Regions from separate parts of the Mus musculus genome. Here regions 1, 2, 3, 4 and 5 are each reported to be linked to region 6. Evidence: microRNA targets listed by miRTarBase, many of them from high-throughput screens and not tested one by one. Region 6 holds a microRNA gene; each other region holds the end of a gene's coding sequence.
Evidence for each region. The annotated mature microRNA mmu-miR-9-5p reads UCUUUGGUUAUCUAGCUGUAUGA and lies in region 6 at 2,795-2,817, shown strand. An mRNA with a match to its seed (bases 2 to 7 or 8) in the 3' UTR can be bound and repressed. Matches are read on the target gene's strand: a 7mer-m8 pairs with bases 2 to 8, a 7mer-A1 pairs with bases 2 to 7 and ends in A, and an 8mer does both.

Region 1: miRTarBase lists Prps2 as a target of mmu-miR-9-5p. Seed matches in the 3' UTR shown: 7mer-m8 at 1,939-1,945.
Region 2: the mRNA of Atp6v0a1 is a reported target of mmu-miR-9-5p. The part of its 3' UTR that is shown has no 7-base or 8-base seed match.
Region 3: the mRNA of Dnajc14 is a reported target of mmu-miR-9-5p. Seed matches in the 3' UTR shown: 8mer at 673-680, 7mer-m8 at 1,458-1,464 and 7mer-A1 at 1,960-1,966.
Region 4: the mRNA of Tsc1 is a reported target of mmu-miR-9-5p. The part of its 3' UTR that is shown has no 7-base or 8-base seed match.
Region 5: the mRNA of Epm2aip1 is a reported target of mmu-miR-9-5p. Seed matches in the 3' UTR shown: 7mer-m8 at 3,231-3,237.

The regions. Positions count from the first base shown.
Region 1 is chrX:167,344,580-167,349,880 of GRCm38, forward strand. Prps2 (phosphoribosyl pyrophosphate synthetase 2) reads right to left here. Exons shown (of 7, transcript NM_026662.5): 7 at 1,741-4,419. The coding sequence ends at 4,327. Among named protein-coding and RNA genes, the nearest start is that of Tlr7, 17 kb to the left of the region's middle.
Region 2 is chr11:101,061,945-101,067,210 of GRCm38, reverse strand. Atp6v0a1 (ATPase, H+ transporting, lysosomal V0 subunit A1) reads right to left here. Exons shown (of 22, transcript NM_016920.4): 22 at 3,492-4,899. The coding sequence ends at 4,806. Among named protein-coding and RNA genes, the nearest start is that of Naglu, 5.5 kb to the left of the region's middle.
Region 3 is chr10:128,816,937-128,822,237 of GRCm38, forward strand. It overlaps Dnajc14 (DnaJ heat shock protein family (Hsp40) member C14), which reads left to right. Exons shown (of 7, transcript NM_001359825.1): 6 at 22-124; 7 at 265-2,512. The coding sequence ends at 475. It overlaps Ormdl2 (ORM1-like 2 (S. cerevisiae)), which reads right to left and starts at 4,693. Exons shown (of 4, transcript NM_024180.6): 1 at 4,606-4,693; 2 at 3,325-3,578; 3 at 3,018-3,169; 4 at 966-2,079. The coding sequence starts at 3,498. The coding sequence ends at 1,944. It overlaps Sarnp (SAP domain containing ribonucleoprotein), which reads left to right and starts at 4,828. Exons shown (of 11, transcript NM_025364.3): 1 at 4,828-5,035. The coding sequence starts at 5,000.
Region 4 is chr2:28,686,406-28,691,650 of GRCm38, reverse strand. It overlaps Tsc1 (TSC complex subunit 1), which reads right to left. Exons shown (of 23, transcript NM_022887.4): 23 at 479-4,997. The coding sequence ends at 4,478. Among named protein-coding and RNA genes, the nearest start is that of Spaca9, 11 kb to the left of the region's middle.
Region 5 is chr9:111,273,099-111,278,399 of GRCm38, reverse strand. Epm2aip1 (EPM2A (laforin) interacting protein 1) reads right to left here. Exons shown (of 1, transcript NM_175266.4): 1 at 1-5,301. The coding sequence ends at 4,619. Among named protein-coding and RNA genes, the nearest start is that of Epm2aip1, 3.9 kb to the right of the region's middle.
Region 6 is chr7:79,502,485-79,507,785 of GRCm38, forward strand. Mir9-3 (microRNA 9-3) reads left to right here and starts at 2,780; the gene lies at 2,780-2,869. All of the region lies in intron 1 of Mir9-3hg (Mir9-3 host gene), which reads left to right. Gm51285 (predicted gene, 51285) reads right to left here and starts at 2,852; the gene lies at 2,795-2,852.

The DNA of each region.
Region 1 (5,301 bases), not on the chromosome of region 6:
CCTCATACTTGCATATCAAGCAGTCTTAAGTGCTGAGTCATCTGCCTAGACCCACAAGGTCTATAAGCTCATCAGTTTTAAGTAGTTTGTTGACTTATACACACAATTTAGATGAAGGATATGGTCATGTTTCTACTCCAAGCCCCCATCTACATTGGCTATTCCCCCTTCAAACACACCATGAACCACTCAGTCTGTGCTGGAAAATGGATATTGCATTCTGGACAATTCTACGGCAGATGACCACTTCTAGCAGTGGTACCTTCACTAAGCCCTTACTAAACTCCTGACTAGATTCAACACTCCAAATTTCACAGCCTTCAACTATCTCTACTTCATTTGGTCTGATGCCTGGAGTTCATGGGTGGATTAGAGGGGACTTCTATGAGGAATGAAACACTTCCAAGATGGGGCAGCATTCTTGGGCACCACTGTAAACCTCTCTTTTGCAGTAAATCTCCTTTTAAGTGACCTTATGGTGTTCTTTCCTCACAGACCTGGTGACAGTTCTTTATAATGCATAGTAGTTTTGCTTGCTTGTTTTCCAAGATAGCAACCCATGTTTGTAGCCTTGGCTGTCCTGGAGCTCACTATGTAGACCGATCTGGCCTTGAGATCAGTCTGCCTTCACCTCTTGAGTACTGGGAGTCAAGGCATGTACTCCATGCCTGGCTGTCTGGTGATTTTTAAGGCCTTTCTTTGGGTGTCACTTTCACTCAAGCATTTCTCATACATCCAAGAAAATAACTGTGTATCTTGTCCTGAGGCTAGAGAACTGGCACAGTCTATAAGGCACGCGCCGCACAGAAGCATGAGGACCTGAGTTTGTGTCCCCAGAACCCATGTAAAAAACGGTGTGGTAGCAGTTTGCCTGTTAATCCTAGCACTGGAGACAGAAGATTTCCAGAGCTCACTGGCCAGCTAGTAGAGCCAAATTCGTGAGCTCCAGGTTCGGTGAGAGATGATGTCAAATAAATATAAATAAATAAATAAACAAATAAATAAATAAATAAGGCAGGGGAGAGCTGAGGAGAGCTCAACCTCTGGCATTCACATCCACGCTCACACATGAACATGTACACAGACAGATGGGCAGATACACACATTCGCACAACAGGGACATGCAATTATTTTGTTCCCACAAGCAAAATTTAAAGCATCACAGAACAGGGTGTGAGGGGGCATGTTCTAAAAGGACAGAAACCCTTTTGGGCATCCTTTAAAACAAAGCATGTGGACAACTTCTATGCAGTCTGCACTTAAGTTTGGACTGTTCCAATACATGGATAATGAGTTTCTCTACTTTTTAGATAATTGTATGTATAATACACTGTAGCAATGCATGGATATAAGGGTGTGTGGAGGTGGGCATTTGCATTCTACATTTCCATGTGGTGGTTAGAAGACAACTCTCTCCTCCCACCATGTGGGTCCCAGGGACTAAACTCAGGTCAGCTTGGTGGCAGGTACCATCTCCCCACTCCTGGTCTTTAATTTGAAAGATAGTCTCTAGAATGATCAATTTGGATGTGCTCTGTGGAGCATCGATGATGCCTTGTGAGAGAAGATAGCCAATAAGTCCTTCACAAAGAAAAAGTCGTGAAGAGGACATTTTAATTATTTCTGGCTTTCCTCTCCTTTTGCAAACTGGATGGTTAACTTATAGTAATGAACATTCTCAGGCACTTCATCAGCAGATCATTTCATCCAAAACCAGAATTCCAAAAGGATGACAAGAACTATGAAAGAAAGTAGTCAGCATGATTTTATTGAAATGTCTTAGTAAATGGCACCAGATCTCAAAATTCTCTAGTCTCTAAAACCAGGGCAAGCGCTGCAAGAAATGTCCTGAATTTAGTCGACATTGTATCTAACAAAGGAAAGTTAGCATATGAACATCTATAAGTAAACTAATAAAATTATGTGGAGGATAAACAACTTTGGTATATTCACTATTTCCTGGCTCCCCTTTTTGGGTAGATATGACTAACATGCTCTCCTTACATAGAGTTGGACAGAGCTGATCTATTTGGTAATTTCCATTATGTTTCTTTACCACAAGCAGCAAGGAACAAGAAAGTTCTGAAATAAGGCTGCTCATGAGGCAGCCTTCGTCATTTTAGCCAAACTGAAACCAATATTTAAAACCATATTTCCACTGTATAAGGCCCAGTCCAGTCTAATTAGTTCACAAATGTATTCAGAGGTACTTTAAAATACTAACTCAGGCCAAGTAAGGACAGAAACAATTGGTTCTCAAATTCAGAGGACAGCCAGGCAGATTTTTATGACAGGGTTTTAAAACTGAAGATTCTTATTTTAAGATCCATGGTACACATTAAGCTTTAAATATCTTAGATAAAATGATTACCAACTGGCTTTTGTCATGCCAATGCTTTGGGACATGTACACACACACACACACACACACACACACACACACACACACACACTGAGCTATCTCCATGTGGGTATGCACAAGAATGTCTTCAGCACAGCCATAAAACCCAAGAAATTAAGACATCGCACATTTATCACAAGTAACAGCTGCATCATCTCAAACAAGTTTTGACACATGTCTAACCAAGCCTGAGACAGACTGTACCACAGAGCTGAGCATCCCAGGTTATAGGAACCACTTTCTTCAGAACAGTTACAAATAAGGTATTATCAAAATGCCAGTCTCTATAGGAACATAAATTATACTTTGTAACATTGATTTGACTTCTGCTCCTCTGCTGTTCCAGAGTGCTGGTTGAGTGTGCTACTCAGATGGATAGGAATTTCTTACCTGCAAAATTTAGGGCTGGGAATTTATCTACAATACTCAGCAAGGGGGGGGGGATTTTTTTTTAAGCATTCCTAAGCTTTAGGTACACAGGCAAATCCTCTTCTTTGTGAGAAGGAAAATGATAGGTTGTGCACTTACTGATGCCTTTTGTTTGTTTGTGTTTTATGACACACAGTCTCAGCTCTCCAGGCCAAGCTGAGCTGGAACTCACTGTGTAGCCTAGGCTGGCCTTAAACTTGTGGTACTCTTCCTGCATTAGTTTTAAAGTGCTGGGATTACGGGCACAGACCTCCACACTTCACTAAAAGATCATTTTATCAAGAATGCCACCCACAATGAGATTCTTCTTCACAATGCTTTCTGAAGCATTTCTTTGAAGTTTATTTTAATGGAACAGCTATTTACTTTTGCCTCCACTGTTTTGCAACCCTCTCCTGTCTACATTTTAGCAGCTTTAGAGATGCTAACTAGTCATTAGAGATGGAGTTCTTCTGATGACAAAGGGCCAAAGGACATTTAACTCAAGCTCAGTAAGCTCTGTTTGAATAAGTGTATTTGGTGGCACTCTTAAATCCTCCCCATTTTATGTATGTGAAAAAATAAAATAATAATCAACCTAAAATATGTGAGGGGGTTTCAAGGAGCCTTTCTTTTGGTGGACATCTACAACAAGAAACTATTGGGGAATGTGGAAAGTAAAGGCTATTGTTAACGTCTGAGAATAAGGTGATAGGACATGAGCTACATTCTAAAGAGAAATTCCCCTGGGATAGACAAAGTTGTGCATCAACGTGGTCACAAACTCATTGACTACAGCCTGAAATGGTAGCCAAATCAGTGATCACTGATCATAATTTGGGAGTTTCCGGTAAGTTGTCATTTATGATATATCTTCAAAGTGGCAATTAAAAAATGATACAGCCTTATATTGTCTTTAATATGTCTAATATCTACTAAGAAAAGTCAGTATGTCAGTGGCTATCTTAGGCCCAATAAAATTCAGTCCTGATAAAGGGCAATAAAATAAACCCAGTTATCATTAAGAAAAAAACAACAAAATTTCAAAATTCATGATAGTATAAATTTTCCAAGGTTCTCTCTGACATAAAGGTTATTTAGGATTTCCCCCCAAATATCCACAGGCATTATTATATATTTACACAGAAGGCTTTCATTTGAAATCACCTTTGGCATCCTCAAAATGTATGTATGACAAATTTCCACAATGGGATTTTAGGCTTAAAAGTTGTTACCTCAAAGTACTAAAAAAGAACGAGGGAAAAGATGAGTTCTCATTGACACCAGTTCAATTAACGACCAAATAACCACCACCTTTCTCTGCCCTCCCCCAGGACTGGAAAGTAGTAGTCTTGAGCTTTAGAAGGAGAGACAGAGGGCTCTTAGAGTGGACACAGATCAGATGCTTTTGCCAGTGATCATCCTAGAATTGCGGAGTCCTAATTCTAAAACAGCAGGCAGACAAAGACAGTGAGAAGTTGGAGGAGGCTTGCTCCATCTTCAATATTCCAATCCAGACTACAGTGGGACATGGCTGAACAGATAGGACACGGATTCCCCATTGTGGGTTCTTCGAATGGCTTCAGCCAGGATCATCGAAATGTCAATCACCTGAATAACACAGGGAAAACACAAAAGACAGGGAGTCAGTTCTATTTCTTTAAAAGCTGAAAAGCCAGAATGTATATGGTATGTTTTTTGTCAAACCTCCTTCAGTCATTTCTTTGGGGAACAACAAACAACTGTGGGTTTTAGCTTCAAAGACAGCACAGCCAGCTGAGCCAACTATCGCTCTTGGGAAGATTTTCAGTGTGAACACTCAGGGGTGCTGCTACCCACAACAGATGGTCCCTTCTCGGGATACTGGTTGTTTAAAACTTAGTTTTCTTATTCATTTGCAGAGGTTTTACTCTAGAAAATATAGCAAATCTGCTTTTTCTATGTTATAACTTTCATTTTTTATTTCTTAAGTTTTTACTATAATCCTAGCATCCATTTATAAAACACGGCAATGTTTTTCATAGAATATAAAGCAAATCTTATACAAGCTACCTTTTTACTTGGCTACATCTCAATTTGGAATACTAATGAATGAGATTTTAAAAATTCTTTTATTTACTGTCATCATCATCATCATCATTAGTTTTGTGTGTGTGTGTGTGTGTGTGTGTGTGTGTGTGATATGTGTGGCTGGGCACACATGTACCACAGCATGCATATGGAGGCCAGAAGACAATTTTGCAGAGTCAGTTTTCTCCTTCCACATTTAAGTGGCATATAGTCAGGAGGGGCATGAAGAAGTAGCTCACTATATATGCTTAGTACAGCCAGTTGACCTGCCCACACTCCATTTTCAGGAGACTATTTACCTAGGGATAGAGTTGTTGGCCTATAGAGTAAGTCTATGTTCAACTTTGTTTTTCACTGTTGGCCATGCTAGGCAAGTGCTACATCAAGCTATTTTTCTACTCTTATTGTTTTTATTTTGTGATT
Region 2 (5,266 bases), not on the chromosome of region 6:
GCAGGCTGAGCGCTGCCCCTGCAGGTGGGTCATTGCTTCCAGGAGACCTGCGGCTGCCATCTCTAAAGCTTGTTCCAGGATCTCAGGATGGCGTCTGGAAATTGTAGAGGAAAAAGAACACGCCCCTTAGAAACAGGCCCAACGGAGCCTGCTCCTCACCCCTAACTTTCCACACATTCCAGCCCAGGCCATCCCATCTTCAGCGGGCTGGAGGAAACCGGAAGCTTCGGGATTCTGAGAACTCAGCCTCGCTAAGGACTCTGCTCTCCCCCGACTCTGATCAGCCCCACTGAGGAGCCATTTCTTTCCGAGGAAGTCTTAGTCCTCTCCCTTTACTTCCATGATTCAGATTCTATACTGTGGTGGTTTGAATGAGAAATGGCCCCCATAGGTTCATGTATTACAACGCCTGGTCCCGGATTAGTGTTATTGTTTAGGGGAGATAATAGGACGGTTAGGTCGGTCCTTTCTCAACCTGTGGGTCGCGACCCCTTGGGGTTGTCAAGTGATTCTTTCACAGGGGTCACCTAAGACCACTGGGAAACACAGATATTTATATTACAAACCATAACAATAGCAAAATGACAGTTATGGAGCAATAAAACTATGGTGGTGGTGGTCACCACAACATGACGTTGCAGTTGACAGCCCCTGCCAGGAGGTTGATGAGAGTATATTACCGTCTCACTCCACTTTAGTTTGCCCTCTTTGCTTCCAGGTTATGGTCAAACATAGGTTCTGGCTGCCTGCTGCCTCGCCTCCACCATTATAGACCCTCCCTTGGGAATGTAGCCAGAGCAAACTTTTCTGTACGTTGATTTTAGCCAGGGTGGGTATACAGCAGCAGAGAGGTAACTAAGACTTAAACTAACAAGTCTTCCAGGTGTATACTTTAGCCAGGCATGGTGGGGCATGCCTATACATCATAGTGAGCTCAGAGCTAACCAGGGATTCTAGAAAACCCTGTCTCAAGCGTGCCAGAGAGGGAGGCTCAAATAAGGCAGAGAGCAACAGAGGAAGAGATCCAGTTTTGATCTCTGGACTCAGTGTGTACCCACGCTCTCACGTGAACACATTACCCCCTCCCCCATGGGGTGGGGGATAAAGGCACATGCCACCGCCATCCTGATATATCTTCCTCTCTCCTTTTCTCCACATTCTCTCTCTCTCTCTCTCTCTCTCTCTCTCTCTCTCTCTCCCTCTCTCTCTCTCTCTCCCTCTCCTTTTTCTTCATTTTCCAGTCCTGCAGGGTTGAAACAGACAGGGTTTCTTTGTGTAGCCCTGGCTGTCCTGGAACTGGCTCTGTAGATTAGGCTGGCCTCGAACTCACAAAGACCTAGATCTGCCTACTTCTGTCTCCTGAGTGCTGGCACTAAAGGCCGTGCCTGCCTCTGTTTTCCTTTTTAAAAAGAGCATATTGAAAGAAAAATTCAGAGAGAGCTCTAGGCTTTATTCTAAATTTTAACATTTTGATTATCATCATTGTGTATGATGGGGTGTGGGGTGGGTGGTGGAGGTCAGAAGCAACTCTGTGGAGTTAATCCTCTCCTTTCAACTTTACTTGGGTCTGGGACTCTCACAGGTCATTAGGCTTGTGTGGCAAGTACTTTTACCTGCTAAGCCATCGTGCCACATTAAAAAAAAAATTTTTTTTTGTGACCATGTCTCATGTAGCCCAAGTTGACTTCAAACTCACTGTGCCATCAAGGGTGAGGATGGCCTTCAATGCTATTCCTTCAGGCCTCAACCCCAAGTTCCGGGAACTACAGGCATGGGGTATGGGGGGCACCCCTTTTCTTTTTTAAAGAAAGGGAAGGAAAGCAACCTTCTACCTTTACACAGAGCCCATCTTCTGTGGGGAGGGGTGTGTGAGCCGGAGGAGCAGTGAGCAGGTCCTACAGCGGCGTCCCCTTTGCCCAGACACACATTCCTTGGAGATGGCTGGGTATCTTGGATCCTTCGCCAATCCCCAGTCTTTGGAGGCCTTTCACCCTTTCCTTGAATGGCACAGCTCAGACCGCCTGGGTATCTGCCTGTGACCTTTTCTCTATCTTTCTCTATCTCCAGGCGCTTCGGTTCTGACCTTCAATCACAAAAGCTTACCAAAACTTTGAAGGCCAACATCTGCGTTTTTTATCTTGTTGCTCACATGTGAGACTCATTGCCTAGCTTGAAGGCCTCTTAAGTTTTATAGCGTTAACTCTTCCATTTAAGTCCATGATCCACTTTTAATTTTTTTATTAATTTAATTTTATTAAGTTTATTTTCATTTCTTTATCTGTGGCTGATAAGACATGACGTAGTTATACAGCATGGGCTGGCTTTAAACTCAGGAGCCTTCTGTTCCAGGCCCTTGAGTCTTGGGCTCCCAGGCCCAGGCCCGGTGTTTGAGTTTATTTTCGTTATGGTTAGGGAGCAATCCAAATGTGTTTTCCCTGCAGGTGAACACTCAGTTGTATTAGCCCCAGTTACTGAAAACAAAGGGGTTTTTGTTGTGTTGTTTTGGAAACCAGGTCTCATGTAGTTCAGGCTGGCCTTGAACTCCCAATCCTGTATCCACCCCCAGAGGGCCGGGACTGCAGATATATAGTGTCAGGCTCTGTTCTCTCTGCGGAGAATTACCTTGGCCTCTTTGTCTAATCTTGGCTGACTGTAAATTAGCATTTGATCCTGGATTCTTGACTCTGCCATTCTAGTTAGTCCTCCCTGTGAGCAAGAGGATCAGGGTTTTCTTTGGGGCTTTCATTTAAAGATGGAGTCGGGGAGCACTGCTCCAGGGGAGGTGACCTGCTGGTTGGGAGAGAGGGGTATAGACTAGGGTGGACTAAGAAGATGGAATGAACAGGATGTCCCAGCTCTTCTCCCTGTTCTTATGAGAAGCAGGTGTTACATTCCTGTGCCATAAACCAGCCCTGTGTGTGTGTGTGTGTGTGTGTGTGTGTAGGGGGCAGGGCAGAGAAAGAATGTGTATGTCTCAGAGACGGGAAGTGGCCTCCCCACCCAGCCTTCTCCCCGCATAGTCTACCGGTTCTCTGGCCCTTAGCTTGCCTACTTCAGCATGTCACATTCTCCAGCTGCCCTGAGGAGCCTGCCAAGCCTCCACTTATACCGAGGCCAAAGGCTTTAGGGCTCAAAATAGCCAGGCCATGGAGGGCTGGAGAATGCACTTGGAGAGAAGTCGGGGCAGACACCCAGGCCCCCTTCTCTGCTTGGGATACACAGGGAAGGGAAGGGAGATAGAGACTGCCCAAGCAATGCAAACTTGGCTCAGGGCAGTGGGAAGGCGCCTGGGCGACTTGAGATAAGGTGCTAATTTCACAGACTCACCGCCCAGCCAGGGCCAGGGCGACTGTGGCCTCAGATCAGGAAGAAAAGCAGAAAGGCTGGCAGGCAGGAGGAAGTGGGTGTGGGCACCAGATGGGCTCCGGAGGGCAGAGCTAGAGTGACAGCCTCCCCGCACCCCCCTACACACACACTCAGAGACAGGCAGCTTTTCTGAGAGTCAAACACACTTTATTCCGGATAAGATGTCTGGACAGAAGGCCTTGGACAGGGTCCCCACAAAGAGCTCTGCTGCAGGCCTCTCTGCAAACAGAGCAAAGATCACGTAACCGGGCACAAAAGGACAGAGGGGTTCAGAACAAGGTCACCATGGGCCGGTCCTGCCTGGGCGAGTGTGGGGGTAGTTCTCATGAGCACCTGGGTGGGGGAGGGGAGGGGCCTTGCTGATTTAGTGTCACTTCCACAGGGAAGGCAGTGAGTGAATTGCAGGAGTCAGCACATGATTAGAAGGGTCTGAGATCCACAGTACATGAGGTAGCCGGCGAGGGCTTGGCAGGCCTGGGCAGCGCTCCCATACCTGCGCTGGCAGCCCAACAGTCACCTCCGCTTAGCAAATTGTAAATGACCTTCCCTGCCCAGGACACCACTCCTGAAACCTGGGGTCAGTGCGGGGCTTGGGGAGGGAGTCTCAGTGGGCAGATCAAGGCAGGCCTGCCAGCAGAACCAACCTTACTGACCACAGCCTCAGGACATCATGATCAGGGTGCAGAAGGGCTCAGAGATGGGCCAATTTTAACTTCTGCCTTGGGGTGTAGTGTTGGGCAAGGCCCATTCACCTACAGACTGGGTGGAGGGAACCTAAGATCCGGAAGCCCAGTGCTGCAAGTCGGTGAGACCCCCCCAGTCCCAGGGATGCTATGCTGCGCCAACAGGGCTCGAGGAGGGGGTGCTTAGGAGGGTGGTGGCTATCCTGGGACCTTTGGGATGGTCCAGGTGGGGCCAGCCTAATTTCCTGAATATTAACTGGAGAGGGCTGGGCAAGGGATGACCGCAGCATCTTCCTGACTGTCCCTGCTAGTGGAGTGGGATGTGTTTCATAAGCAGTGTCCCCCTGTAGGAGAGGACCAATTACCATCCTCCTCCAAGGTGTGACCAAGAACTCCTGGACTGAAGAGGGATCCCTTGCATCCTGAGGGCTCTGTGCCCCGATGTGGCTGTGCAGGTTGGCTCACCAGCAGGGGGTGGAACAGGGCTGTCTGTCTGGGGGGCCAAGGGGCCTAGCCGGTGCCGTGGGGATGGGTGAGTATCAGGCACAGTCATTCAGCATTCAATCCAAAGTTTTGGGGTAGAGAGACCGAGGCAAGGCCAGCACTACCTAAGTGAGTCACAGCAGGGACAAGGGGTTGCAGGGCGACACAAAGGCCCAGGCATCCAGGGATCACAACCAGCAGGCAAGAGAGACACAGCTGATCACTGTGGAGACGGGCAGGGGAGCTGCTCTGGGCATGCGCCCTGCCTCAGACTCACTCATCAAACTTCCCTTCCCGAATGTGCTCAAAGGAGAAGGGGAGGAACTTGAAGCCAGTCCCAGTGTAGAATTTGTTCTGGAACTCCACCCTGCAACGCAGAAGAGCACAGCTGTCATTTCACAGGGAAAATGGAACAGGGCTGAGTGTGGTGGCCCACACTTCAACCGTGGGGGACAGAGGCAGGTGGATTGGTGGCCAGCCAGGGTGACATTGTGAGACCCCGTCAAAAATAAAAATAAAATAAAATAAGGAGGTTAAATGGCTCCGTGGTTAGAGTACGGGCTGCTCTTGCAGAGGACCTGGGTTTCCAGCACCCACATGACTGCTCACAACTGCCTGTAACTCCAGCTCCTAGAGACCTGACACCCTCATCTAGTCTCCATGCCCCCACTCAGACACATAAATAAAACAATAGGGGGCTGCAGAGATGGCTCAGTGGTTAAGAGCACTGACTG
Region 3 (5,301 bases), not on the chromosome of region 6:
GGTAATTATCTCTGTTTGCAGAGTGGGCTGGATGCCAGCGTGTGGGTATCTCCCCAGATACTCACAGAGTTCCTTACCACATCTCATTTGGTTCTCGGGTACCCGGCACCAGTGGCCGGCAGAGGTAGGTGATACTTTCACACCTACTATGTCAGTTGTATGGTTTCAGATGCCTTGTTTTCTAGGAAGTTTGGGCACTGACTCTCGGTGTGTAGTTAATTTTGGAAGCCGACTATAATGTCTTCTGCCTCTTTTCTCCCTCAGGGCCACTCCAGAGTCCCCTCCTGCTGACCTGCAGGATTTCTTGAGCCGGATCTTTCAAGTACCTCCGGGGCCGATGTCCAATGGGAACTTCTTTGCCGCACCTCACCCTGGCCCTGGGACCACTTCGACCTCTAGGCCCAACAGTTCAGTACCCAAGGGAGAAGCCAAACCTAAACGGCGGAAGAAAGTGAGGCGGCCCTTTCAACGATGACACCCCTTCTCTTCCTTCCTCAAATCAATGTCAGGGAGTCAAAAGGGCTGTGTACAGCACAGGATGGAATTTGATTTATTTTAAAATACTTTAAAAAGGGAAACATTTTAAATTGTTCACTCAGTACTTAGAGGAAGCCCATGACCTCTTCTCCCTCTTCCCCAACACCCAGGAACTGAATCTTGTTTTCTGACAATACCAAAGAAATAGGAGGTGGTCAGAGCAAAGAACTTAGGGGCTGGACCTAGTCCAGACAGTATGCTTCTGAGGTGTGGGAACTGGGGATTTCTCTGGGGTCTGTATGCCTTTATCTTATCATCTGCTCTTAAGAGCAGATGAAACACACCCCCTTTTAAATGAGTGTATCTTATTTCTTAAACCCATATCAGGGGTTCCCCTCCCCCCTTTACCCTGATATACTAGCTAAAAGAAAAAGCATGTAGCCCTAATTTTGGAGACACAGAACTCAAGAGTGGAAACTGATTTTTTTCCTCTGACTTTCACTTTATTGGTAAGACACCTAACTTCAGGCTTGTTGTTGCAAGGATGGCCAAAATTAATTAATTTTTAAAAAGCAGATTTATGCCCTGTGCCCTTGGGTGAGGGGGAAGGATAGAGGGGTTCCCAGAGGCCCCCTTGTTAGCCAAGGGTTTGTATTTTTTTAAGTTTGTTCATATTTGTATGTACATATCTATTTAAAGCCAGGAGATTATCTTTCTATAAATATATAACTGGCAACTTACATCTTCCTTCTCTTCTTTACCCATGTAGCTGGGAGTCCTTTTCTATTTTCTTTTGGAGATAAGAGTCTTACTGTGTAGACCAGGCTGGACTCCAGATTGCAGTGATTCTCCTGCCTCTGCCTCCACTTCCTGAGGGCTAGCTAGTATTATAGGCATGTGCCTCCACTACTCACTTGTGAGCTCTTTTTTCTTATTTGAGAATTCTTTCCTTGCTGTTAGCTGTGAGTGAAAGGTATTGGACCAAAGGAGTAGAGACAAAATTTTGCTTAAAAGTTTTTTTTATAGTAAGTCAGCATTTTGCATTTTCTCCCCAGCATTATGAGAAAATCTCTCTGTCCTTGCTTATCAAATTTCAGCCATAACTGAAAGACTTTATTTTAAGAAAAATATACAGCAAAACAGAACTTGAAGTTGGTAGGTTTAGAAGATATGGAAAAACATAATCACCAGAAAAGCTGCCCAAACAATGATGGCTTCTTGCTAGATAGAGGAGAGTGAGTGGTAGTGCCCTTAACCTCATCCACCTTTCCTGATTCAGAGAATCTTGACCCTATGAAGACTGGACCCAGGAACCCCATTTTCCAGTTTCTTCCTTCTTGGAGTTTAGATAGGTTTATCTTATCTCTCAGGCTTCCAAGATACAGAAGATAGTGTGGAGAAGGGAAAACATTATATATTAGTTCCAGTGCCTTCCCTCAATGCCTGCAGAACTAGCAAACCATCTTTTAGTATTTGTTGATTCCAAAGAGACGAACCCCATGGAACTGGGGTAGCTTAGGCAGCAGCACGCTGAGCAGCGAGGCAGTGTTGATGAGGAAGTGAGCAGCATCGTACTTGGTGTAGAAGCTGGCCAGGAGGTAACTAGGAGAAAAGAATTAGGATGATGGAGGTTGGCCTCCCAAATCACATTCATGCCTTACCAGTGACTTTTCTATTTTGAACTACTAGTTTTATTGCATGTAGTCCAACAACTATTTCAGCTAATCAATGGTATTTAATGAGGTTCAGGATATAATCAGAAGGCATCTTTAACTAGAGATGATAAATCAGTTTGTTTGTTAATGGTTAATGATAAACTGCAAATGACAGCCAAAGCTGTTTCAGCATATATGACTTTTGGAGCCCTTTTTGCTTCCTTTCTCCAAGTCAGTTTTACTTTTTAACCATTAATATACATTCTGCCTTTACCTTCTTGCTTTCTTTTGGGACTGTAAAATCACTTGGCTTTAGTTAGGAGTTTGGTTTATTTTCAGTCCCTTCTCCCTTTCCTTAATACCATGGAACCAGCAAGGAATGCTTGACTATGTCTTGTACTTTATAATGTAGGCTTAGGACTAGAGTGTGTGTGTGTGTGTGTGTGTGTGTGTGTGTGTAAACATAGGTACATGTTCAAGGGTTAGTACACATGGAGACCAGAGTTCAACATGAGTTGTCATGAATTGCTCTCTACTTTCTTTTCTTTTCTTTTCTTTTCTTTCTTTCTTTTTTTTTTTTTTTTTTTTTTTTTTTTTTTTTTTGGCCAGGGTTGCTTTCTGACTCTGGAGTGCAGCAATTTGGCTAAACTGTCTGGCCAGCGAGCCCTAGGGATCTTCCTGCCTCTGACTCTTCAGTGCTGGGATTATAGGCACTCATGGTTGTACATGGCCACATCTGGCTTTTACATATGTGCAAGGGATTGAACTCAAGTCCTTATCCTTTATGGCAAGCACTTGACTAAACCATTTCCCCAACCCCTAGTACCTTTTCCCTGGTTAGTAGAGCCATTTCCAACCCAGCATCTCCTTCACACCCAGACTCACAGTACAATAGGAGAGATGCTGAGGAACTTTCGCGAGGAGGTAAACTGTAGTCCATAGTCCATCTGCTCCCAATGTGTCAAAAGCCGAGCCTTTCCTTGGTCAGGGGTCTCAAAGGGCGTCCCTTTGACTGTATGTAGGAAGATATACATTGCCTGGGAAGAGGGAAAGGGACAGTATAAGGGGTAGGAAGTAGTCCTTTGGGTCAAGATCCCAAAAGGAAGACATAAATCCCCGAACAGCTGGTGACTTTGTTTTGTTTTGGTTGGGATAGACCTGGGTTGGGTACAGGGTTTGGTTTAGTGCTCACCAAGTTATGGATGACGTTGGTCAGGGTCCAGACAACAGGAATGCTGAAGAAAGGGATGCTGAGGAGAACCACATGCAGCAGTCCTACCAAGATGATGTAGGCCAGCCAGATGCCCCGACTGTTCATCACTCGAGTGTTGGGGTTTACTTCGCTGTGTGCCACCCCCACATTCATCCTACCACAGTGAGGGATCAGGCAGGAGTCCAACTCAGTCTCCTCATTAGCCCTGATTGAGCTTGTTCCCCAGCTGTCTCCTGAAAAGCCAAAATCCCCTGAAGTCTTGGGAATGAAAGAATTTCCCTACCATGCAAAAAAAGGAAAAACTGAACACTTTGTTAAAACTTGAGAAGAGGTGAAGCAGCTGGGTGTGGTGGCTCATGCTTGTAATCCCTGAATTTAGGAGGTTGAGGCATGAGAACTGTTTGACCTTTCTCCAAAACAAACAAAAAGGCAAGAGGGTCTTCGAAATGACTAAGGTGGAAAAGGTATTTGTCACCATGCCTAAAGACCTGAGTTGGATCCCCAGGACCCATGCAGTGGAAGGTGATAACCAACTCCGGAAAGCTGTCTTTTGACTTCCGTACCTTCAGTTGTTAGTGTGTATACTCACACAAGTGGGGTTTTTACTCAGATCTTTACATTTCAACTAAATATAAAGCAGTAAGTTTAGACTGTGAGACCTATTTGAAGGATCGGAGGAATCGGGAGTATTTTAATTTACTTTCTTGAGGAAGTTAGTGAATTATAAAGAGGTCACACATACCCAGAGTTCCACAAGAAAGCTATTCAGTTAATCAAGGGACCAATAAAGAAGGCACTGAGAGTAAAGCTACCTCTAGTTCCCATCCTTTTTTCCTGGGGCTTGTCCATCCTGTCTCTCACCCGCTTGGCATTGTCAGCAGCCAAGCAATTTCATCCCTTCACTGAACGTGGGGCGCTGCAAAAACTTACCCAATTTTTAAATTAGTCTAGGAAGGGGTCTGAGCTCAGTCCCTCAAGAAATGGGAGTCCTTCCCTTCTAGGAGCGGTTTTAGTTTTTAAACTTCTGCAAGCTCTAATGCCTACTTTTGTTTTTTGTTTTGTTTGTTTTAACCCGCTCTTGCCTGTCCCACAATTCCCCAAATCAATTACAGAGTCCGCCCATGCTCCTCCCAGAGTCCCAGTTTCGCATGTCACTTTCTTCACGGGATCTCTCGAATCTAAGGTTGTCGTTTCGCCGCCCTTCCCAATACTCCCACCGATTTCTCTCTGTAACTTTTTAAAGTTTCACGGGGCCCATACCTGCCAGCTTCAGGAGCCCGTCCGGCTTGGGGCACAGCGCTGGCTCTTACACCTGTGGTCTCCAGGAAGTGGCCGACTTTCGCCCTGTCTGCGCTCTCCCTATTGGCGGAACAGAATCCGCGCTGTCCCCAATCATTGGTTGGTTACGCAATGGAGACGTACAATTGGTCGCCTTTTCTCTCGTTAGGCCATGCAAACCCCGCCCTCCCCTGGATCCACCTTTTTAGAGAGCCGTGGAAAGTGGCCAAGAGGCGTGAGAGCGCCGCCGCCGCTGACTAATGGGAAGAGCCGTTGGTGTGAGGTGGGAGCAAGAGAAACAGCGATTGGTTGGATGAGCCTAAGCGCCTGAGGTGGGGGCCAGCGGTGGGGGTCCGGTGGACTGAGGCGCATCAAGATGGCGGCCGAGACGGTGGAGCTCCACAAGCTGAAGGTACCGTTACGCGGGGAAGGCTGAGGTGGGGTTTCCTGGAGCCTAAATTCTACGCGGGGCCCTGCGCGGCCTTATTCCACGTGTTTTCCTGTCAGGCGCCCGCTTACACTTCTTTCCTGGCTCCCGTTGTTGTTTTGTGCCTCCTTTCTTAGGCCTACCTTGAACTTCGTTTCTCCTCAGTAATTTATCGCTATCGTTACCTGGTGTTTACCTGCTGTTACCTGTTCTTCTCATTGTTTTTATTACCTGCCACCCTTCCCTGCTCG
Region 4 (5,245 bases), not on the chromosome of region 6:
ACCCTGTCTCAAAAAAAAAACAAAACAAAAACAAAACAACAACAACAAAAAAAGATGAGCAATGCAGTAATTACATGTCCTGGGTGAAGCACTGCCCTGTAGTTTGTACAGTTTCTGCCCACTCTTACCTCTGCTCGATACTTGAAGGGCAGGGGCACCAGGCAAGCAGGTGGTAATGGCATATCACAATACAGCTGACCAAGAGCAGGGTAAGCTTCTGCTAGGTTCCATCAGAAGGACTTGGGATGGAGACTAGGGTAGCCATGCTATTGGAGGTAGCCCTCTTCCACACATTGCTTTTACGTAGGGCCGTGAGTTTTAGACTGATGAATTATTTGTTCTCCAGCCCAAGTCCAGTAGCTGTTACTAACCGTCCACCCCCGTCCATGCCACCATGCAGTCTGCTCACAGTGCCTTGGACCATCTCATTCACCCACACGTCCCCACAGCCAGCACAGAGTCACTCCATCAACACTGCGGAGTGCAAAACAATAAATCTTTATTTGTTCACAGTTAAACACAAGCAACTGCCTTGACATTTTAGAACATTCTAAAGACAGCAAACCTTTGATTCCATTCACTGAGACTGTCCCATGTTCTCCTGCAGCCCATATTTATGGCATCTGATTTGGATTGTTTGACATGCTTTTAAGATCATATCTTAGTGGGAACATTTAAACCTTTTGAGAAGTGACTTCCATTGAACTAAAAAGTTTTTTTTTTTTTAAAATCTGATTCGTTTTCACTGATGGGAATATCACACCCCCCCTTAAACTCCCAAGTTAGCCATATCTGCTTCATCCATGATTGATTATAAAACTAAACTATGTCTTAGCAAAACCTGCTCCTCTGCATCATGTTTGTGGTCCAGTCTCATGAAGGGTGACCATTGAATCTTCCTAGTGCAAAAAAACGCCTGCCTGCCTGCCTCTGGTTTGCCAGGGAGTCAACAGCATCAAGTCCTCCTCTCCCTTCCGACACTGTGTGAGCAGAGGCAGGAGGAGGCGTCAGTCTGGAGCCCTTGATCCCCAGGGGTCTTATGAAAGACCATCCTCCAGTGGCTCAGGCTGCCTACTTATCCAGGGGTGGATAATACTGGGGCTCCGGGAAGGGAAGGACACCTCTCTGCCCCCATTAATTTCATTCTGACACCAAAAGTGGTTAGGATGCAGTTTGTTGTAGCTACTGCTGCTCTTCTATACAGCATTTAAAAACTCAGGGTGATACCAGAGACAGAAGCACTGCTCCCCTGAACACACCAGGGGCTCACAAACCAGGAAGCTGAATAACAAGGGTGGAAGCAGCAGCCCAGTGATGTCCCCCCACCCTCCTACAGGCTAAACCCAGGGCAATGAGGCGCCTCTGGGTGGACACAAACATCCTCACACTGGCTGTGTTTCCAGTGCACATGGCAGTGGGTTTAAAGCATGGCCCTGGGGCGAAGGTGCAGCGGACTCAGTCCTCGGCTGCAGGGCCACTGGCCTCTGGCTGAGGCAGACCACATGCTGCAGTGCAAACTGAGCCTGTGCAATGCCCACACCTCTACCAGGGTGTCCTGTGTCTCCCACCTTACCATGTGGCATGCCTTTGCTACTTAGTTCTGACCTCAGGTGTATGGTCTTCCCTCCGCCGTCCCCCCCCTCCCCGCCCCCTGGCTGGCTGGGCACACTCACTTAGTCGTCACCCCTTGCTTTCTAAGCTTCCTGCCAGCCTGAGCTCTGTGGTCAGCTCACAGCTCCTTTTATCCTTGACTACTAACATTTTCTCATTCTCCTTTGAGCACTAGAGCCCACAGACTCTGCAAGTGATCCTGAGTCTATCGCTTGTCACCTATGGTGCCACCACCAACCTGGGAGGTGCTTGGTCACTGGCTACAGCAGCATGGGGCAGAGAGACTTTTGTCTGCTTTTTAAACCACCAGTGGCTACCAGACTTTTCCTGGGTTGTGACAGCTTGCCTTCTAAGAAGAGTGACTCCCTGCTAATCATGTCACACAGTTGGAACCTTCTGCAGCTTAGTCCAGAAGATTAAGCCTTTTTTCCCCCGAAAGAGGTCAGCACTCACTGCTGGTGCCTGGAGATGCCACTTAGAGCCTGTCTCCTCATGCTCCCTGCCATGTTGCCCTGGCTCCTAAAGCACAGTCTTAGCTTGCAGGCAGGGATATTACATAGAAATATGCACTTAGCTCTTCTCCTGGGCACCCATCTCCTACACTGCAGTGACATGGTAGGGCTGCTTCTAACAGATTCTGGACTGCATGAGACACAGCCTCCAGTTTCCTTGGAGCCCGTTAGCAAGCACAGCACACAGTCCGAGTGATGACAGGATGAAGGCCATTCAACCCCCCACCCCCTCCCCACACTATGCCACCATGAAACCCACCAGGGTTTCTACTCCTTGGCCCAGGACTCCAGCTGCTCCTCAGAAGCTTCCTGGTGCGCACAACTAGACCAGGTGACCTACTGACTCCTAGGTCAACTGTCACTGCTCTCTAAAACAGAAGCCTCCACCCAACCACCCACTGACCCTGAAGTCCTTTGAAAGGAGTCAATGTTTAGGTTAAGTGCCTTAAAGATGTCTCAGGGGCACAGTCCTCCAACCTTAGGTGGGAAAGTCTTAACAGCCTTCTAGAACTCAAGCCACATAGGATGCTCAGGCTCTGTCGCTGGGTATGGGAAGAGGTTGGAGGAAAGTGCAGAAGGCCCAGGTGAAGTCTGTGGAGATGGCAGCCTGCATGTTAGCTTACCTTACCATGCTCCTCTCCAGAAACTTTCATCACCTGTACAGTCTAAGTTTTCTTCCTAAATGCTCTGTTCTCTGACAGACCTTGGTGGTGGAGGTGGTAACTCTTGGAAACTGTGACTACCTGTGAGATCTGTCAATCTGCCCACTTCTCCAATGGCTTGGGTGAGAGAATCCTGGGTCTTAAGCTTTGCTTTGGGCAGAACTACATGAAAAAGCATGCCATCACTGTCACCCACACTCCAAGTGTTCAGGGGCAGTGGCTGCCCTCTGCTGGTCTGAGGGGTTAGTGGCACGCCTTCCTGTGGGCGTTAAGTCTTGCCTTACTTAGGGATGCTAGGATATTTACTGCCACACTTCAGACTTTCATCCTCAGGCTGTAAACTTTCCTATTCAGTAAGATTCGTACCATTTTGTTGTTGTTTTTAGCTTTGTTGTAGCTAAACCCTCTTCTTACAGAATAGAAACAAGCAATCCAAGCTCATGGCTCCTTCCTAGTCTCTCCTTGCCTGGGCCAGAATATCAGGCAACAATTCTTTCACTTCGAGCATTTATTTCAGGAGCATTGGTTGAGTTTGGATTCTGCCACCACTGTGTTCTGGCAGTGACCAATGTCACCTCTTGTGAGCATGAGGCCAGGCAGTGGTATAGGCCACCAGCCTTTATCAGACTCTGAGTTACTCTGCTGTTCCTAACAGAAATGTTTGATATGAAGCTCCAGGGAGGGTCTTTCCTGAAGTTGGAGTTGGTGTAAAAGCTGTGAGAACCTAGTAAGGTGAGGCAACCCCTCAGCCGAGAGTGATCATCACATAAGCTCCTAGGAGGCCCTGACTTCCCGAGCCTGTCTGCTGCAGCATCACAAGGCAGCTGGACCCGAGGGGACCAAGGGGAGGCAAACAGGCTGAAGGGTGGAACCATGACCAGCCAGAGGCACACATCCACATAAGCACGGGCATCGTAGGTGCCTCTCCTAGTGACCACTCCCCACTGTCTGCAGATTGCAGAACGAACACCTGTACACCCACCCACAGGCAGCATGGTGCCAGCATTCAAGCAAATACCAAATAAATAAGAGGTAGTGGGGCAGAGGGGTAAGAGCTTTCCAGAGAGTTAAGGCAGTGTGGCCTCCACAGTGGCAACTGCACTGTCAAAGCAGCTGGTATTCTCACAGAACCTTCTAGGAATCATATCAGAGCTGCCAAGAAAAGGCAGAGGTGAGTGAGCCAGTTTCTCTAGATCTGTGGCTTAGATGCTGAACTTCAGAACCAAAAGCAGTGGGAACGCTCCTGTAAAGACAGCTCTGTAGGCTCTATCCTCCTGCAAGGGACAAACTGGACTTACCTGCAGTGCCACTAGTTGCCTGGTCTACCCAAGAGCCACCCAGTTGTCTGAACCTCAGGAAAGCAGAGTGGCATATTGGACCCAAAGATGAAATTTGGCCTCATATTGCACAGGTTCAAATGACATAACCATTTGGTGGGAGGAGAGAGTGAAGCACAGACCCTCAATCAGTACACACTGCTGGGTAAATGAAAGGCTAGGGGAGGTGAAGGAAGCGTCTCAATGCCAGACCCAAAAGCCACCATCCCACTCTCTGCCCTCTGTCAGAAGGACCTCTGTCCCATTCCCACCGCACAAGCAGCTGCTCAGACCCTGGAAACAGAAGCCTAGACCGTGCATTCACACCTTCTGTTCTGTGCCGACAAAGACGCAAATGAACACTGACAGACCCTCTTCAGCTGTGTTCAGGATGAGTCTCATTGTAGTCCATGATGTGGAGCTGCCCCACATTGTCTGAGTTTGGGGAAGATGGGTGTGGGGCATCTAGACTCAGGGAAGTCTTGTTTTCTGTGCCCGAGTCCTTGCCCAGTTCTGTCTTCAGGGTCTCAGAAAGGCTGCTGCTACTCATGGTCACGCTGTCCTCATCACACTGGCTCTCGCTCTTATTACGGAACAGCTCCCGGGCCTTCATGCCCAGGAAGCTTTTGGAACTGGGAAGTGAGCCAACAGTGGTGGGGATGCTGCTGGAGGGCTCGCCCAGGGCAGGTTCCCACCGGCTGCTGAACCTCTGGCTCGGGGGTTTCTCTGGAGTGGAAAGCTCACTGCTGCTGCTGCTGCTGCCTCCAGTGACTCTACCTCCACAGCTGGCCCGGGTGCCACCAGGTCTGGAGGTCCTGGTCTCACCATTGTGACCAGAAGCCTCTTCATTATGTCCTACCAAGGAATCTGTGCATCCATCACTACAACAGTCAAGCCTGTAAGAGACCCAGAGAGAGTGCAGCTGACAACCACAGCACTGCAGAGGAAATGCAAAATTACACTTGCGTCCCAACTCCACATGCTCCTTCTCTAATTAAATATTTCATGTATGTATGTATGTATGTATGTATGTATGTATGTATGTATGTGCCTGCCTGAAACCTGAGGAGGCCAGAAGACAGTATCCGATTCCCTACATCCAGGAACCAAACTGAGGTCCTCTGCAAGAGCAGTAACCCTTTAT
Region 5 (5,301 bases), not on the chromosome of region 6:
GCCATGACAGTTCCTAGACAGACACGGCTCTAACTCCTGTAATAATTTCCTCAGAGAAGGATGGGCCAGGACAGACTTGGCCTGTAGGGGTTGGAGTCTGACAGCTCAGACAACCTGTCACAAACAACTAAACTTTTGTCTGCTTCCGGCAACTTCAGCAATCCTGATGCAGAACTAAAACACTAAACAGTTTGCTTAGTGATTATTTGGGAGGCATCAGGGAGACGCTACTGGAAGATAGAACAAAATAACGACACAGGGACAAGTTATGTTCTAGAGAGGTGCCCCTTGAGATGAGCTGGGAGATGGGACATCTACCCTTTATTAAAGAAGAAAAAAAAATACTTTGTGGTGGCCATTGGCTGCTTTAGACAAAGTATACATGAATTCAGTATTTGGTCAGTTTCAAGGCAGAAATGATAGAGTATTTATAACGTTCTTACACTGTAGGATGAAACAACTTTTTAAATACGAGATAAAAATGAGAAACCCTTAACCTGAAGGTTGACAAAAACCTAGTTTTGCAACAGGATCAAATCTCTGGATGACTGTTGTACCTACTACCAAGACCTCAGAGTGAACTAATTAGTGTGACTTCCTAAAACTGTAAGTCCAACTAAGAGAATGATACTAGTTTATCTCTTAAGTTGAGCAAAATGGCTTAATGAAAGAGACTAATAAGCATCTGGCTTTCCAACTTAAGACTGAAATGTCTCATTTACCTAGAAATGAAATTCAGAAGCATGAAACAAGAAAGCAAGAAAATACAGCAAATCTAAAAGTCCATGTTAACTGGATGTCATCTGGGGGTTTTCTCTCTGGGAGATGATGTGGGAATTCCACATTTTTTTTTTTTTTAAATGAGCTGAAGATCTTGTAGTCAGAAGGGCTGACTAAGACATCTTTCTCAGAAACAAGTTTACTTACTTTTAAGTTCCAGGAGAGCCAGAAATCATCTGTAAAGGAAAGTAAGTACTAAATAGCATGCCACTTTCTCCTAGGGTTGATGCCTACAAAAGGAAAAATGGACATTAACTTTTTGCAGTCTTGTCTTTCTCCAATACTGAAGGTGATTTTTAGATTACTGAACTCAGTTCAATCTAAGCAGTTATCCAATGTTTTCCCTCTATATGTAGGTTCCTTTGGAAATTAAAACAAAATAAAGGCTCTGTATTATGGACTTAACACTAGAGAGCTGATTTTTGAGTACACCTAGGTTTGAATCTTGACATTACTACTAGTTTACTAGGGTAAATTACAGTCTGTTTTCTTAACAACATTCACATAATATTTGAACCACATGCTAAGCACTGCACTAAATTCAAGAAACACAACAATGAGATTACTAGTCGCAAGTAAGGTGAATTTCATTTCTTAATTTGCAATACATGGCTAAGAACTATTCAGAGAACAGGCAAAATGTCCGTGACGGTCAAAAAAGACTGTGAAGGTTTCATAAAAAACAAAAAAAACCACACAAGTATTTATTTGCCCAAGCATTTGTTCAAATGCCAGGCACTAGAGATGAAACAATGGATTAAACGTCCCTCTGGTCCAGTCTAGCAATGACCAACGCACAGTAAGAGATGCTAAGTAGAAAGGACAGGGTGTTCAGCACGTGTAGTTGGGTACCTGGCCTAGAGGATACCCCTGAAGCTTCTTAGATGATATGTAAGCCAAGTTCTGCAAGATGAACAGAAGTTTGTCTTCTATCTACCTTGATAGCAATGAAGGCAGGGGAGTGGTATGAGTGATCTGACTGTAAAGCCATCTGCTGAAGGGAAAGTGAGAGGAAGAGCAGGTCTGGGAGAAAGAGCCAAGATGTGAAAGAGCAAAGAGTTAGCAATATTAGCAACTATGATTTACAGGGAAATCTCAGGAGACAAAAATTTGGAAGTATCTGCATACAGGTGATAACTAAAGTCATAGAAAGAGATCAACTAAGGAAGTAATGTAGGAATATGAGGTAAGGGAGTCTTAAAAGAAAACAAAACAGAACAGCAAACAAAACAACCAGACAGACATACTTAAGGAAGAGGTGACTACAATTACTGGAGTTGGTGTCTCTGCAATGCTACAATGATTTCAAGAAGGCAAAAATACTGACAAAACACACTGAACTTGAGTGATCTGATGGGCAATATGGGAGCCTGGGCAAGCAAATATTTGAACTAGTGGGAATGAGAGAAATGGGAAAGGACAGTTAAGGACACAGAATTGTTGTTGCTTTAAATGGCACTTATTTGAACTATATTCACTGATACCACAGGACCAGTAACAACTATATATTTAAAACGGAAAAAGGAAAGAAAAAACTGCCATGCAGCTAGAGTTACTTCCAGAAATACAAAAAACAGCAAAACACCTTAAACCAGAAGTTCTCAACCCATGAGTCTCGCCCCTCTGGGGGGTCGAATATCAGATATCTATCCTGCATATTGGATATTTACAATTCATAACAGTAGCAAAATTACAGTTATGAAATAGCAAAGAAATAATTTTATGGCTGGGGGTTACCACAACATGAGGAACTATATTAAAGGGTCGCAGCACTAGGAAGGTTAAGAACCACTGCCTTAAACGAAGAAAAAAACAAAAAATAAGACTAGTTACAGCAAACTTGCTAAGGATTAATTTAAAAAAATCCCTTAGCTTATTTATATCTCCCCCATATTCACACAGTGGTTACATGATGCAAACTAGCTTTATTATCACCTTAAGCAAAACACAAGAACTTGATAGAATGCACAAGATATTAATATTTAGGGGACTAAAATAGAAAGTAGAAGCAGCTTTCAGGACTTCCAATCATTCTCTCAAATAATAAAAGTATTTTACGTATTTATTGTGAAAGGTAATCCACAAAGCTCCTGGGAAACTACCAGTAGACTCATTTTCCAGGTACTTAAGCTCATTCTTTGATAAGGAAAATGTCAATCTGACACTAGCTTTTCTCCTCTGAACTGCTGGAACTAGGCTTCCCTATCAAGTATACACCATCAGCTTCCGCTGGAGATTGTTTCCTGTCCTTTGAAGTAAGATGATGTATGCTTGGTGGGGGAGGGGGAGGTGCTGGCACTTTGGGAGTAATGGATGACTCTTCATGGCATCAGGCTGTCTGACCACCATAGGAAGGAGAGCTCTTCTTGGCTTACCTGCCAGCACAACCCTCCAGGACTACAAAGGTGCCCTAACCCTTTCCAGCACTCTCTGGAAGGAAGGGCTTCTACCTTTGGTTTAGAACCACTGATCTAACTTTGGCTCTTAGACTCGTGTGGCTTAAGCATCAGTTCCTTCCAAACGCTTGGTTGTAATAAGGTTCCTCGAATGTGCAACACGACAGTGTGCTGCCGTATTTAAGACAGAACGGAGCACATCAGCTTGTAAACTGCACGAGGAGGAGTTACAAATCAGTGCTGCTTTTAGATCAGGCTTCAGGTTGAGCTTTACCTTAAGATTGTCTTCTCCACAGTTAGAAAGTCTGATAACATCATAGCACAAAACCAATGTCTCCAGAAATAGGAATTATTACAGTCTGTGGATAAGGTTGCTTCTTGAGATTTAAATATTTTTACTTGTGCACTGTCTTAACTACTCAATGTGCGAGACAGTTCTAAATTCTAGAATAAATCCATTTCCTACACCTAACAAAATCTGACTCATCACTTCAAAATAAAGTGTCTCCCTTAAGCATGGTTTCCTTATAAAACATGAATACCCATGCAGATAAGACAAACGAGCTAAAACCTTCAGAACTCCTGATCTTGAAGTGTAAAAGTCTTTCCCCTTTACTGTTTGGATAGGGCCAAAGTTCTGTCTAGAGCAGGGAAAAAAAAATTACTGACTGGCAGTGATCAAGATTCCATACTTACCATGGTCCTTTGATAGATGAGCTGAAAAAATTGCTCCAGCTGTGAAAAAATAAGGAGCAAACCACCAATAATTGGTTATTCTTAACTCCTGATAGTAAGAAACTCCTAAATCAGGAATTTAAAATAATTCTTGCTGCTCCAACACCAAATTGATTACTTCCTCCATCCGTAATGTCACCATCAACTGGGTAGGTGGGGATGGGGGGATTGTATTTACTTAGAAATATGCTTTAAAAAATAATCTTAAATTCTGTTATCTAGATAAAATACCTCCACTGTGTTTATGCTATTCCTTTTCAGAAACTTAATTTGATATGTGAGTTTCTGTAAACTGGCTCAAATACACTTTTAAGGAGTTGGTCATTTCAAACCACGTGTCACACTTTCCACTGTGTCAAAATAAGAGCTGAAACTTTTGGCATATATCTTTAAACCATTTTAAAACCAGACTTCTAGTTCAACTGACAATATCAATACTAAATTTGTTGAAAATCAGTAATAATAAAAGGAAAGAACAATGACTTTTCCATTAAACTAAGTTTTTTAAAGGTGGTATTCTTATGCTTCAGTCAGTCCCATGTTGCCAAATGAGATGGAGAAAGGCAACTTGTCAGAAAGATTTCAATGCTTATCAATTTGAACATCTGTAGTAAGTTCAATGCTTTCCAACCATCCAAATGAGGAAATGTGAAAGAAAAATCAAATTAATTTTCCCTTTTCAAATCAACTTCTTGGACCACAACGGCTTACGAATCATTTCTTTCTCTCACAAGATCATCCCAACGAGGATCCATTTCAGTTGTGGCAACTCGAAACAGTGCTTGGAGATGCTCATCCGTCAGTGGCTGGCTCAATGTGTGCTGGTTTCGAGTTAAATATGCAAAAGCCTTATCACAGATCTGGTTACTATCAAATAAGGATGCCACCTTATAGGCAACCCCTTTGATAATTGGGTAAGCTTCACCAGACAGTCCTGCATAAAACTGTCCCAAGTCTTTGACTCTGTACTCATTCCACAGGTCAGTGTTGGCCTGAAGTTTTGTTAGCTCCACTCTTACAGAAATAGGCGCATATTCCGGTTTAAAGCTAAATGGATTTGAGAAAAGTTCTAAGTCCTTTTTAATGAACCTGAGGTCCTTAAAATGTCTCTCAAAATCTTTCTGTAGGCGGGAGATCACCATTTGATACCTGTCAGGATCAAATATTTTTTGATCTTCCTTAAACTGCTGTTTAAGTTCATCAACGATTATACTGAAGGCAGGAAAGTCTGTTAGATTTACTTCCTCCATATGTCTCTGAAGTGAACTCAGCTTACCCTCAAAGGTGCAGATGCGTTCAAAGGCAGCAGCAGCAAAGACTTTACTGATCTGCAGTTCTTCACTGATCTCTCGAAGATAGTCCATAATATCTACCAAGAAACCAAAATCAC
Region 6 (5,301 bases):
GCGAACTTAGACCCGGCCCAGAGTACAGTGTGAAGATGAAAAGACAATCAGAGCCAAAGTCAGCTGGGTCCTCCGTGGGTAGGCTCAGCCCCAAACAATGTGTCCCTGCTGGGTCTGACCTGGAGGCTTCCCATCCTGTACATGGGTGTGGCTGCTAGCTCAAGGAGACTACCTACTGCCCTGTCCCACCAGAACATCCTCCAAAGGGCAAGCAATGGATGACCCAAGGCCCACACTCACTGTGGCCTCCTTCCTGAGAGAGAGCTGATAACACCTTCATGCACCCGGACACTGGAGACAGAGCCCACTCCAGCATGGTGTAGGAACCTCTGCCTGGCTGGCCTCACCTGCTTTGGCAAGGGACATGGTTTCCTAAAGGACAACAGAAATGTGGCTTTGGTGGCACTAACCTGCCTTACCTGAACAGAAAGCAAAATCAAGCTTTTTAGTCTTTCTCCCAGACTCCTAACCAGCCCTAGGCTCTCAGGCCAGGGCTCCAGCGTGCTATAACCATGAACCTCACAGCCGAGGAGCCATTTTGTGCAGCGTCCTGCTTAAATCACACTCTGAGAACGCTCCTTCTCTCTTTCCCCTCTCTCCTGCTCCCCACTCCCCCTCTTTCTTCTCCCTCCCCCTCTTTCAGGTGAATCGTGCTTGCACAGTTCCCTCTGCCTCTTCAGTTCCACCCATCCAAGCTCAGGGTGGCCCAGAAGGACTAGAGCGCAGGAGGCCGCCCACACTGACAGACACACAGCTAAATGGAAGAGGGTGTAGATTCCAGAGGCTGTAGGAGGAGAAGAAAGGGACACCTCCTAATTATGAAAAATCCTTTAGAATTAACCAGGCAGGCCCAAATTCGAGGTTCCTTCCTGGGCCTTGCTGTCGGTAGGTCGGCCCCTCTGTTTCTCTGATGCTTTTCAGTCTAGCCTGTGTCCTTTTTCTGAGACAAGGATTTGTCTGTGAGGTGGCATTTGGAAAGAGGTGTGTAACTGCTAGCTGGCTTGCTCACTGGCTGACAGGGATGGCAGTGGGGATGCAGCCCACCTTGGATTTGGGGTCAAGATAAAAAATAGGACGAATCTAAAACAAGCACGGGGTACAGAGGTGTGGTGCCAAAGCCTGGTATTAAACAAAAAAAATCCAGATGTGTCATTTAAGGGAGACTGCTTTAGATACCTTTAGAAAAATTCCCTGATCCCTTCCAAATCACCCACTTTGGGCCTATTCTTTGAACCCAGCCTTATGGGATTTGCTGATGGAGAGTGTGTAAGGGGTGCCCCCCCCCCCGCCTCACCAAAACAGATCTGAATGAGTACCCCCACCAAATCTGGGCTGCTTTGGGGATGCCTTAGCACAGAGAGTCTTTGGGACTCCCTCATAGTCACTGCTGGAATCCTGGAACCCGCTACCCCCCACCCCCACTCTATTGTTAAGTCAATCTCTAGATCTTGGATTTAAGATCTTTCTAGGGATGACTGGGGGGGGGGGAAGGAGATATCGAATTTTTCATATTTAATCCTTTGCCTCCCAGGAATGGGTGAAGGGGGTGAATCAGGGCTCATAGTGGGAGGGGTGTACAGGAGCAAGGAAGACAGGATGGGTTTCAGGTGAGCAACCTCTAAACCACCACGTTTAGGAGACTGAGACGGGACTTCAGTTTGGTGGCCAGGCTCAATTCTACTGTGAAACCTCAAAATGTCAATTCTTTTGCCCTGTAAAGTCACTTGGAGTAAGTGGGCTAGGGTGTGCTGTGAGCAGAAAGATGGCAGGAGCTGATTATTTTTATGGGAGGTGAATAGGAGCCCAATTACGGCCTTGGATATCTTTAAGGCGCAGGGGCACAATTGATTACATATCCTTGGCTGTACTAGGAATGGTCAGAGGGAAAGGGCTAACAATCTGGTGCCGACATTTAGGACCTGGTTTGAGCGAAGCATGCCATGGGAATCCCTACAAGTCAGGCAATATATATGGGATACATTGATCTAGACACCCACTCCTTCCCTTAATCCCCAGTCTCTACCGCGGTGTCTGTACAGTGCTGGGCAAGAAAAAAAAGGAAGAGAGACCTTAAGGATAAAGTGACCGGTTCGCAGCCTCTCCTGCGCTCACTTGGTTGCCTTGGAGAGACCTCGACCTTAAACCTCTTCCCTCAAACTCTAACTCTGGTGGTCTGCGGTGGCTGCCAGGCACCTAAGACGTTGCTGGGAGGTCAGAGAGGTTTGAGAGAAAGGCCAGACTGTGTGCATCCAAGCAAGCAGGCCTAAGGCTTCTGAGGGCAGAAGAGGCGCTCCCCTGTCCTCGCGGCGCAGAAGCCGTGAACGCCGAGGCCATTGTAAGGCTGGGTGGTGCCGAGCGCGGGAAGGGGGCTGGGATTTGAATGGAAGCCCGTGATAGGCCGATCCCCCGACTGACGTCACTTCCCCGCGGGGCGATTAGCCTGCGAGAGGAGGGCTGATGGTCCAGTGCGCTGGGGGCCGCCAGGGCGCCCGAGGCTGCCCAAGCGCAGAGCGCCGGTTACCCGAGTGCGCCCCGGGACGGCGTCGAAGCGGGCCGCGCACGCACTGGACGGGGAACTGGGGATGGAGAAATCGCGAGGGCGAGGGAGGAAGGGAGCTGGGCGATCCGGGTGGCGGGAGTCCGTGTGTCTGTGTGTCTGTCGGTCCCCTCTGGCTCTCCGCGTGCGCCCGGGGCTGCGGGAGCGGAGTCCGCTCAGGCCCCCGCGCCGGGTCGGCGGCGGCACGTGGGGCCCACAGCGCGGCAGCGGTGCCGGCGAATGGGAGGCCCGTTTCTCTCTTTGGTTATCTAGCTGTATGAGTGCCACAGAGCCGTCATAAAGCTAGATAACCGAAAGTAGAAATGACTCTCACAACTTCTGCGTGCGATGGCCCGGCCGGCCGCCCTGGCCACAGGAGCCAGAGGAGCCCAGAGAAGCCCACGCCACCCAGGGATTCCAGCTCGACGGAGCGGCCACGCCGGGACCAGGTATCCGACCTCGGCTCTCCTGGGGACACTTGCCGTGTCCTGGAGGCATTCCCTTCACCTCCTCCTCGGTCCCTGCACCCCCATCACCATTTCCCAGCGCCGAGGCTGGAACCCCGAAGTGGAGTGGGTTGGGGGCAGGGAACGGGCTGGGGTTGCAGAGGGGTCGCTGGCGGGGAAGGCGCCAGCCTTTGCCTTCACCCCATAAATCAGGCTAGAACAATCCACGCCCTGAGCTGCAGACTAGGATTTTGGGATGCAAATGCGATGAGAAAGAGAACGGAGAGAGGAAGGGAGAGAGGAAGGGAGAGAGAGAGGAAGGGGGAGAGAGAGAGAGAGAGAGAGAGAGAGAGAGAGAGAGAGAGAGAGAGAGAGAGAGGAGAGAGAGAGAGAGACCGGTAGGCAGTGTGTAGGGGGAGTAAAAGGGTGGGCAGGGGGCTGCCCTGCCGCTAACAATGCAGCCTTTATCGAATTATTCGACGAGTCAGCCCCTGAGCACCATTAGCATACGGCTGGGGGGTTGCTGGAGCTTCGCCCCTCGGTGAGGTCAAGTTCTTGATAATTTGATCACTTTTCACCGGCTCTGGCAGCTGCCTTTGTGTGCAGTTGGGGGGTCTGTGTGCAGCGTGAAGCGGAGCAGAACTGGCGGGGAGTGTACTCAATGGCAAGGGGCCTAGGCGGGGGGCCTCCCGCCCCGACCGACCGGCCCTGCCCTGCATACAAACCAAGAGCAGGCTGCTGGGCGGGAGAGACGTAGCCCAGATCCTCTAAACCTCTATAGTTCTGGTCGGACGGCTGGGGCCGGAGCCTCCCCAACTTCCCCAACTGGTTAAGGGGGAAGCCAGGCTCTCTGGAGCTCCTCTCCTTCCCGCCCCAATAAATGGCAACATAAGATGTATTACAATGTCTAGCAAATAAAAAAGCAATTGGGGGAAAAAATCTGAATTCCGTTCCCATGGCAACCCAATGCTGCACACCGGCCACTCAAGCTCCAGGTCCCTCTTAGCTGGGCGCTGCGAGTGGGGCGTGCCAATGTTCTGTGTCCGTGGTTCTTAGCCCCACAAGGAGCGGAAGGTCCCTTTGAGGTTTCTCTGCCTTCAGGTCCCTCTCCTTCCTGCCACTCCCTTTACTCTTTCCTTATCTTGAAGTTTGGGGCCCCCTGCAACTTAGGAAACCATTAGGGCTCCCGCGTGGTGGATGTAGACCCAGCTATGGACCCTATCAAGTGTAGGGAAGAAAGGATCCAAAGTCAGTTCACATACCTTAAGGCTTGGGGTCTTTTGGGGTTCTTTAAGGCACATATCAGTGTATACATGCTTTAGCAGATTGACTGGGAAGGATTAGTGCTACCATCCTGACTTGACCCGCTTTCTTTTCCTTGAACATATTAAGGAAGCAGATCTGGGGGGTGAGGGCCTACTCCTTAGGGAGTAGCACACACAGCGCAGAAGTGCAGAGGTGGGCACTACCTAGGTCACCTTACCTCCATCTTGGCCCAGTTCAATCCCAAGAGCCTCTTGCCTTAGTTATTTATAAGATTGGTCTCTCAGCCTCTATCCAGAACCTGCCCAGCCCCCTTGTGATAATAGAAATCTTTTTCCATCTTTGTGCCTACCAGCCGTTCCTCCCCCCCCCCCACACCCTTTGCTTAGCAAAATTATCTTAACAACAAAAAGGTGACTTGTGTAAAAGTAAAAATAAATTCAGTGATACAAAGGAGAACCTCCTGGGTCTGGGGAGGGGCAAGGTGTGGCTTCCATACGGTAGATGGAGAGTTTTTCACTGCATTGCCTTGGAATGTTAGACAAAATTAAACGCGGTGGCAGGAAAGCAGCTGTCTCTGTGCCTCCTTCTCAGGGACTCATTGGGTGGAAGGAAGGGGTTCGAGGTCCTTTCATCTTTTCCTTCCCGTTTCTTAGGCCTGTGAAGGGTCACTCGCGTGTTTGAGGACCCAGGAGCCTCCCTCCCCCCAACTGCATCTACTGGGCTTGCTCCCCCTTCCTGGTGCACCTGGGAGCCTGTGTGCTGGTGGTGACCTCATTTCTGAGGAAAGCAGAGCAGCTCTCTCAGCCTGCTTGCCCAGCACTCCCTGCCTCCACGTCTCACGGATGGGCTGGGGCTTCCCCAGAGCCTGCCCCGGTACTCAGAGCCTTCTCTTCCCTGGCCCCTCTCCTTTGCTATTTTTGTAAGAGCCAGTCCTTCCTACACCAAGGTGGTCACATAGCTTCACGACTGTGTCTTAGGTGTAGTTCAAATGTGTGTCGCCTTTGGTTCTTTTGCCGTCCAGGCAGGCTGGAGTCCCCCCATTAGGAGTCCCAT